Linked DNA regions of Nothobranchius furzeri. The protein of the gene in region 2 interacts with the protein of the main gene of each other region in a biochemical or structural test. Links are inferred from orthologs where the notes say so. Each region holds a gene or a part of one and is shown on either strand. Other genes may lie near its edges.

Evidence for each region.
Region 1: the proteins of Na(+)/H(+) exchange regulatory cofactor NHE-RF2 (region 2) and TBC1 domain family member 10A form a complex in vitro, tested with the Homo sapiens proteins (2 studies listed by IntAct, with this or other methods). The link is inferred for Nothobranchius furzeri from reciprocal best matches to the Homo sapiens genes NHERF2 and TBC1D10A.

The regions. Positions count from the first base shown.
Region 1 is NC_091746.1:51,452,362-51,456,674, forward strand, and holds the start of TBC1 domain family member 10A, read right to left. Parts: upstream 2,811-4,313; 5' UTR 2,619-2,810; coding exon 2,452-2,618; intron 862-2,451; coding exon 762-861; intron 600-761; coding exon 492-599; intron 8-491; coding exon 1-7.
Region 2 is NC_091752.1:53,773,817-53,777,784, forward strand, and holds the start of Na(+)/H(+) exchange regulatory cofactor NHE-RF2, read right to left. Parts: upstream 2,823-3,968; 5' UTR 2,400-2,822; coding exon 2,175-2,399; intron 1-2,174.

The sequences.
Region 1 (4,313 bases), on a different chromosome or scaffold from region 2:
TCAGTTCCTATAAGACACTATTTTAGTTTTTTTTTAACCAATTTTTCACATTTTCTATCTATTAAACTGGGATCTAGAACTTAAAGGTGATGAAGACTGAAAAAAAAAACAGTTTTAATGATTATTTCTGATTATAATCGGTCACTCTGAGTTTGTAATTTAAATACAAAATGTTAAAGCTTTTATTTTGATATTTGAACATGCAAAAAGTTTATATAAGTGATCCAAAAGGATTCAAATGAAGGCAACTGGACGTCTTTGGTTTCTTGAAGATGCTTCGCTTCTAATCTGAGGAGTTTTGTCAAATCTGACTGGGTTATGGGAGGGTCAAACTTCTAATCTATAGCCGTCTATTGTGTAGAAGTACGTTGTGAATACCTAAGTTCTCCCAGATATCGATAGAAAAAGCAACAGCTGTCCCATCACAAACATTTACTACAGTAAACCCATCATGATTGGGACTCAAGAGGAACCAGGATTCTCAAACTGACCTCAAACTTGCTCCTGTTTTGCTCCTTTTTTGCTTTCCCTCCAGTGAGGTAGAGCCAGGCCCGACCCCGCAGGGATGGAGGAATTCCTTTCTGGCAACGCTCTTTCACCTTTTATTCAACAAACACACAGTTACTGCAGGATTTAATAAAATCCTGAATAAAATGAGCTTCAAATCTGATATGATTGTGTGAATTCATGCTTTTTAAACCACAGCTTGAACCTCTTTAAGGAGGAATTACAAATCAGTAAAAGCATCACATAAATCAGACCTTCTTGTGTTTTTTGGCCATCCACTTGTCCCAGCTTTTTAACATCTCCAGCCATTTCAACTCCCGCTGCCTCAGCACATCAGAGGGGATCTCCTCCGCCCTGAGAGGGAAAACACAACAAAGCTGGTATGAGTAGTCAAACAGAGTCCCGCCGTCCTCTCCTAAAAAGTTCGACAGGAGACACTTTTGCTCAGAGGGAGCGGAGAAGCAGCTCGTCTCTTCTTTGTACGTTCAGGAAACTTTCCTCAAGCGAAGCAGCTGAACATTCGCCATCGGAAGGGAAACAGGAAGCTGTGGGGGACGTTTACCCCAGTCTAATTCACTGTAGCCTTTATAAAGACACCTCACCGCCCAACGGCGCTGAGGAGAATACGAGATGTCTTCCGAACATGAACAAAACACAAACCTGCTGAGCAGTATGCTCTAATCGGATCACCAGAATAGTTCCGGACAACATCGGTGTCTCTAAACCACAAGCACATTTAACAGGTGAAAGCCAATAAAGTCAGAAGAACAACGCAGAACAGAGACGCTACATATAGATCGCTGGTTTGACGGGAGGATTTGCGGTTTCGTTTCAAACAGCTGAACATCCCATAAATGCCACCTTTCAGGCTCTACAAGAATGGATATCCTTGATCTTTTAGCACAGGGGCTGCAAACATTCCAGATTATAACCCATGAAAAAGTGAATAACTAAATCATAATGAAAACACAGCTACTGGTTTGATCTCTTCCATTGAAAGCATAAAAAAAGTTTTGATTCCTGAAGATCATCTCCATGATGTTTCATGAAGAACCACAATGGGGGGGTGGGGGGTCTCACTGATTTTATAAACGGTCAAATTCACAAACTGAGTTTGATCCATCATACTCAAGTTGAACAGAAATTATTTTGATCCATTTAGATCAAACACTGGTTAGTCACCAAACCCTAAATCTTTGACATCATTCTCAACAGTCACACATTCTTCCAATTCTCAACATCGGACTATGAGGAAGACTTGGTGGGAGTGTTATCAGTGAGTGTAACTCCTGGACTCGTGTTGTTCCAGTTTACACCGATGACAGTCTGGAGCTGAAACCTGTCCACAATAACATATAGTGGTTAAGGTGAGGCAAATGCTGGTGGATCATGTGATTATCTCACGCTAGTTACTCTGATGCGGAGCAACCATAGATCTACATTAACCAAGGTATAAGGAAACTCTTGGAGTGAAAGTAAACAGGAAGTTGTTTTACTGTTGGGTTGGTGATGTTTGAAACACAGGCTAGTTTAATCTGGGGTTTATCCGAGTTCGGGTGGAAACGGGCTCTGTCCCATTTGAAAAGGATAAAACTCAAACAAATCACTAGTGGAGACAGATGGCCCTGGCAGGATTGGGACATGACTAGGATAAAATTTTTGAATAACTGAAACAAGAGCACACTTTTGACTAAATGAGGACAGTTTTCGTGTTAGTTTAGCTGCTAGAATAAAGGAAAACCGGTGAGGGAGGGGTGAGTGTACTTGCTTTCGGCCGTAACCAACACTTACACGTAACTTCAGGAAATCCTCCCATATGTTTTTTTTTATTTACCACATAAATCTGATTATCTTTGACAACACACAATGACCATTAAGAAATTTTTTTCACATTTTCCCATATCTACCAGAAATCAGAAGCTGCATTTGAAACATCACCCTTACTCTTCTGTGGCGCTCTGCTGAGCTCCTCCTAAGAACCCATACTTGTCCACCTGTGTGTCCCCGGTAAAGGAGTTGTTTGATCCACGAGAAGTTCCTTTCTCTCCATCCGTCAACTTCTCCGTGCTGCCACCGATTTCGAGCCCATCGTCCTGCTCGGCTTCTGCCATTTAATCGACATCGGCAGCAGCAGAAGATGTCTTCAAACTTTAGAACGAGTTCTCCATCAGACTCCCGCTGGTGACAGCTAGCTAGTTGCTATGAGAAACAATTACTTAGCTACTCGCACATTGATGCTAAAACAGCCACCTTGGGGGCACGTTTTGGTAAAATGTCCTTGCTTCGCTATAGAAATAAATGTTTCGCTTACGCAAAAAGACTAGCCCGCTAGATTCAAATAGAGCGATTGGTTTTACCGTTGAATTAGCTCGGTGTCTGCACGCTAACTCCGACGGTAACATGCTACTATCTCACAGCTGTCAGCTGACCGACAAACACTTTCTACCGAGAATCTCTTCTGTCAGCAGGAATGCAGATTAGCTGCAGGCTAAGGAAGAGAATCTGCCTGACTGGTTAATAAACAAAACATCCTTGGAATCTCATTTAACCCAACCCTCTTCTGCCACCTACCGGAAGTCATCTGCTTTACGTGTAAAAAAAAATCAAAAGAAATTTCTTCTCAATTAACTTTATTGATAAAACTAACAAAGCAAAGCAGAAAAAAAAGAAAAAGAAAAAAAACGAAATTAACACACGTGTAAAGGTAAAAAATACACAAATACTGGAAACCAGGGCCGTGCAGAGACCTTTGACGGGGCGGGTGCTCAAAGTAAAAAAAAAAGGGGCCCTTATAGAGCAATCCAACAAGTTAGAAAATTCAGATAATGAGACCCTTGGGTTCAAACAACATAATAAAAATATACCAATTAGTATCATTAGTGTTAATGTTAGTTCATAAATAATAGTTTTAGTTTTTAAAGCTGACATATCTAGAGATGTTACAACCACATTTTTGCCCCTGATCCGAGTCCAAGTTGTTTGATTTTTGATTATCTTCCAATACCTGTTCTGATACCAGATGGTGATGCAATGCATTACAAAAGAAGAAAGAATTCATCCTTCTGTCTGTATTTGTCAATTTGTTATTTTAGCCTGAAAAGGTCACTCATTCAGGAAGTACATTTAACAGAAATCAAGATTCAAGATACTTTATTGCTATTGCACAGGTGTACATCCAAGTATATTTTGCGTCTACTAAAGACAGCTCTAGTAAGAGGTAGTAAAATAAATGTAAAATAAATGCACCACAGAGAGTTATCCAGTGTGATCTACAGCTATGTTAGCTGAGATCTTTTTCCTGTCAGTAGAAAATTCTTGATCCCATTCCATGATCTCACTGAACTTAACACTAAACATGAAAGCTCTGCTACCAACCTAACAACAACTTCCTTTGGGCAAAGGCACCATCATCACATACGTGGCAGGATTCTCAGTGAAACTTAGAAGAATCTTCTCCAAACACAACATCCCGGTAAACTTTAAACCCAACAACACCCTCAGACAGAACCTGGTCCGTCCAGAAGACAAAACACCCAAACAGAAGCTCAGTGGCGTTGTTTATGCAGTCCAGTGTAGTGAGGACTGTCCAGATGTTTACATTAGAGAAACTAAACAACTATTACACAAGAACATAACACAACACAGGAGAGCCACCTCTTCAGGTCAAAACTCTGCAGTCCACCTTCACCTAAAGGACAAGGGACACACCTTTGAAGATGACAAAGTCCACATTCTGGACAGAGAAGATAGATGATTTGAGAGAGGAGTAAAAGAAGCTATCTATGTAAAAACGTGAAAACCCCACT
Region 2 (3,968 bases):
GAGCGTTTTGCTAGCCATTGCCACATTACAATTGTAGCGCTGCAGTATTACTCGCAGGAGACACGGCAACCCCACACTCACTGATGGTAAACAGTAGTCCCTCCTTCCTTTGTTTTGAGAGGAGAAAAACTGACAATCCCAGCATCCAGCTAATATATTTCACTATAACCTTCCTTCTAAAATGACAGAAACATTAAACTCTTTTGGGATTTTCTCACTGTAAAATTCTCACTATATTCTTACATGCTGCACCTTTAACAATGTAAGAACTAGATTATGGTTGTTGTTTTAAATGTCCCAGCTGTCAGGCCCTTGTTTAAGTATGAGGTGACAAAACAAACCTGCAACATGATCAAACTTCAGCTCTTTATGGTGCTTTTAGGGCTCAAATCCAGCAGGAGTCAGACAGTTCCAGCTGACGTAACCACTAACAGTGATGTAAAGGTTTCTAAATAAACGTTCACATTAGCTGTTGTTGTGAGATTTGGGAGATTAAAGGTGTTTTAAGTTGGCAGTGAAACGTTTTGGTTTAAATAGTCCCAGCCATTAGCTCATGAATCTGGGAGGATTTAAAATAATAGACTAAAGATGTTCATGGGTATAGCAACAACAGGCTAAAACACAACAGTTTAGACGAAAAAATAATTAAGAGAGGAGCTAGATTGTCTGGTGATCAGAAACTCGGAATTCTGATTTTTTTATATTGATCTGTAAGCGGCGTCAACAATAAAACATCTGACATTTTTCCTGGTCTGTGAACTCACCAGACAACTGCTCATCGATGTTAGTAACTGATGTTACATGTGCAAGGTTTTAGCTCCGGAATGAACGCTTTAAAGTGACAGTGTGTATTTTTTCTGGCCATAGGGGGCAGTAGATACCTAAATCGTTGTAAGAAAGCTGTATTTTTGTGTTGGAATAAGACCTTACCAACGGAAGCCCATTAGGGTCTAAAAGCCCTGGGGAGTGCAAACTTTAGCAAAATAAGCACATCAGACTCTCTTTCATCACTGGCAACAATTGAAGAGGTAAACGTGTAAAACAACATATTTAACAATGACAAAAGTTTTGTAACGGTTTGTTACAAATCAGTAGATGCATTTTGTCCTCATGGGCACCCGTAGAAGGAAACATAGCATCTAATATGGCGTCGCCCAGAGACTTAGACCCGCTCCCATTTATTTTAGACCAGATTTTTATGGTTAGATGTTACGACGCTGCCAATATTGTTCAACAACTGGGCTTCATTTCATTCATTTTCAACTACATTTTGATGGATGTTTCCAGAAATTAATGGTAAAACTACACATTGTCTCTTTAATGTTAGTTAGATGAATCTGAATGGGCCAAACCAGCATCAGCAAGTCTGAGCTGTTACAAGAGTCAGAAATCGGTTTCGGCACTCTAAAACAAAATCAGTGTCCCAAATTCCAACAAAAAACAAACGTGCATAAACTCATGTTGAGTATATGCTTGTGGAGAAAAATTATATCAAACCAATCAAAGGTTTGTCCAATCATATGCCAAAATTTAGTGGATTAAATAGTTGACCCCCACGCCCCACCCCCCTCTCTCTCTCATCTGTTACTGTTTCCCACCATCAGACCACCATAGTTGTGAGAAAACACAACATTTGAGGTCAGGCCTCAATGACAGTTAGTGGATGAGAGGAATGAAGTCGAAAACTGAATCAGATTTTTAACTCAACTGAATTTAAAATGAATTACACAGATAAATGCAAATCTATAAGAACCATTACCCATCAGAAGAGTGATGAAACAAAAGTAAAAACCTCCTGCTGCTCTGTGACCTGACAGATAAGACAGTTTAACTTGGTTTGGGGCAGAGATATTTGATAGTTGCAGATCATTTTGGGCTCAGACAGAACAAAGTCTGCAGCTGAAGCGTCTGAGTGTTTATCAGCCTCAACAATATGCCAATATGCTGAAAGTCTGTAAATTCAATGCGACAGATTAGATTAGTGTGGCGGGGGCGGGTTTTGCGCACTTTGTGTGTGTGTGTGTGTGTGTGTGTGTGTGTGTGTGTGTGTGTGTGTGTGTGTGTGTGTGTGTGTGTGTGTGTGTGTGTGTGTGTGTGTGACCTGTTGATGCACCCTCGCAGGCAGACATGTAACTCGACTCTAATCATAAATATGAAAGCACACATCCACTCGCCTGGTGGTGTGTCTCCTTCTCCACGTTGACGCCGTTCACGGCGACCACCCGGTCCCCGGCGCGCAGCCCCGACGCCTCTGCGGGGGAGTTGGGCTCCACTTGGCGGATGAACTGTCCGCTCTTCCCCTTCTCTCCGTGCAGGTGAAAGCCATACCCGTTCTCCCCTTTATTCATCACACACAGCCGCGGTTTCCGCTCGTTGGCCATTTGCTCTTCTTCTCGCATCGAACCTTCCTGCAGACCCGAGTAGAGTAAAAATGCGGTGAAAATGCGCGAAAAGAAGAGGTGGGAGTTCAGGACAACGGGTGCGGGGCTAAACTTCCAGCGTGCATCCCGACTGGCCTCGTGCGCGCCCTCACATCACAAACACAACTCCAGATCCAACAACGGAAAAGTTTAAATTCCCTAAAAGCTACGAACTCCAGTCAACTGGACCGTGTGTCCGGCTCTGAGGCACGCTGCTCCAAAACGGACCCAAACCACCGGGGGCTCCAGAACCTTCGGACCGGTGCGCTCTGCAGACTGTAAAAGTGAAAATGGTTACTGGTCAAACTCCCTGCGTTTATCCAAAACATTCGTCCGGAGAGCACATCCTTCTGCAGCTTCAGCGCCGATCTTTGCGCACGATGAGCGGCTGGTGAGCAACAGCACCACCTTCCTCTGGAAGAGAAACAAATAGAAAGTGTAAGTGATGCACTGATGCCCCCCGGCGGCAGGAAACAGTCAGTGATCAGGGTTAGTTATGATAAATGATCAACTTTTAAATAAATTTAAAAAAAAAGTTCTTTAAAATATTTCCTGTCTATTTCATTGTTGGTGCCTAATATCAGGCAATGTGGTGACTTTTAACTTCAAAATGATACATCTCACAATAACGGGAAACGTATATTGGCTCGATTAGGGTACAGTTATGGTAACATCTCAGATTTATAACTTTTAATCACATTTGCAACCTTTTGTCTTAGAAATCTGACTTTTAAAGTCATAAATATAATTTTTAATAACTGTCAAGGTTGTAATTATGGTGTTATTTTTAGTCATAGTTATGACTTTGATCTTGTAATTATGATTTCCAAAGTTACAATAATTACTAAACTTCATATTTACAAGTTTGAAAGCAGGAAAGATGATTTTGAAATCACCAAAATGATCCTTCAGATCTTTTAAATTGGAACTCTGAAAAATATTAAGAACAATCTACATCAGTGGTTCGTCCTCCACTGCCTCGACTCGACTGCTTCAGTGGTGGTGCTGCTGATGGCTCGTGTCTCATGCTTATCCTCTACGCCAAGGCAACTCAGTGATCAAGCAGGGATCTAACCCCTGCATCCAGCTTCCACTGGGAAGCACCTCACTCTCACTCTCCAACCAGTCCACTCCATACTTGGAGAGCTTTCTCCAGGGCTCTTCCCGGGGAATTGTTAAGTCCAACAGCAAAACTTGCTTACTGGCCTCAGACACAAGAACAGCGTCTGGTCTGAGGGAGGTGACAGCAGTATGACTGGGGAACTTCGGCTGATCCATCAAGATCTCCCAGTATCTGGCAGAGATCTTTTGACTGGAGCTGCTTACTCCCCAGCTCTGGTGAAGGTTGTAGTTTGGTTAGAATGGCAGGCAGGTAAACAGAGAATAGTAAAATTTGATTGTGTCTAGGCAAATAAGTTACTGATTAGTTCCAGGAGGGTAAATTAAAAGTGGGTTTCTATTGTATTAAAACAACTCAGATCTCATCATTGTTCTAGCAGTTCATCTAAAGGCTTTTAAACACCATTTGAACTTTGAAACTGCAGAAAT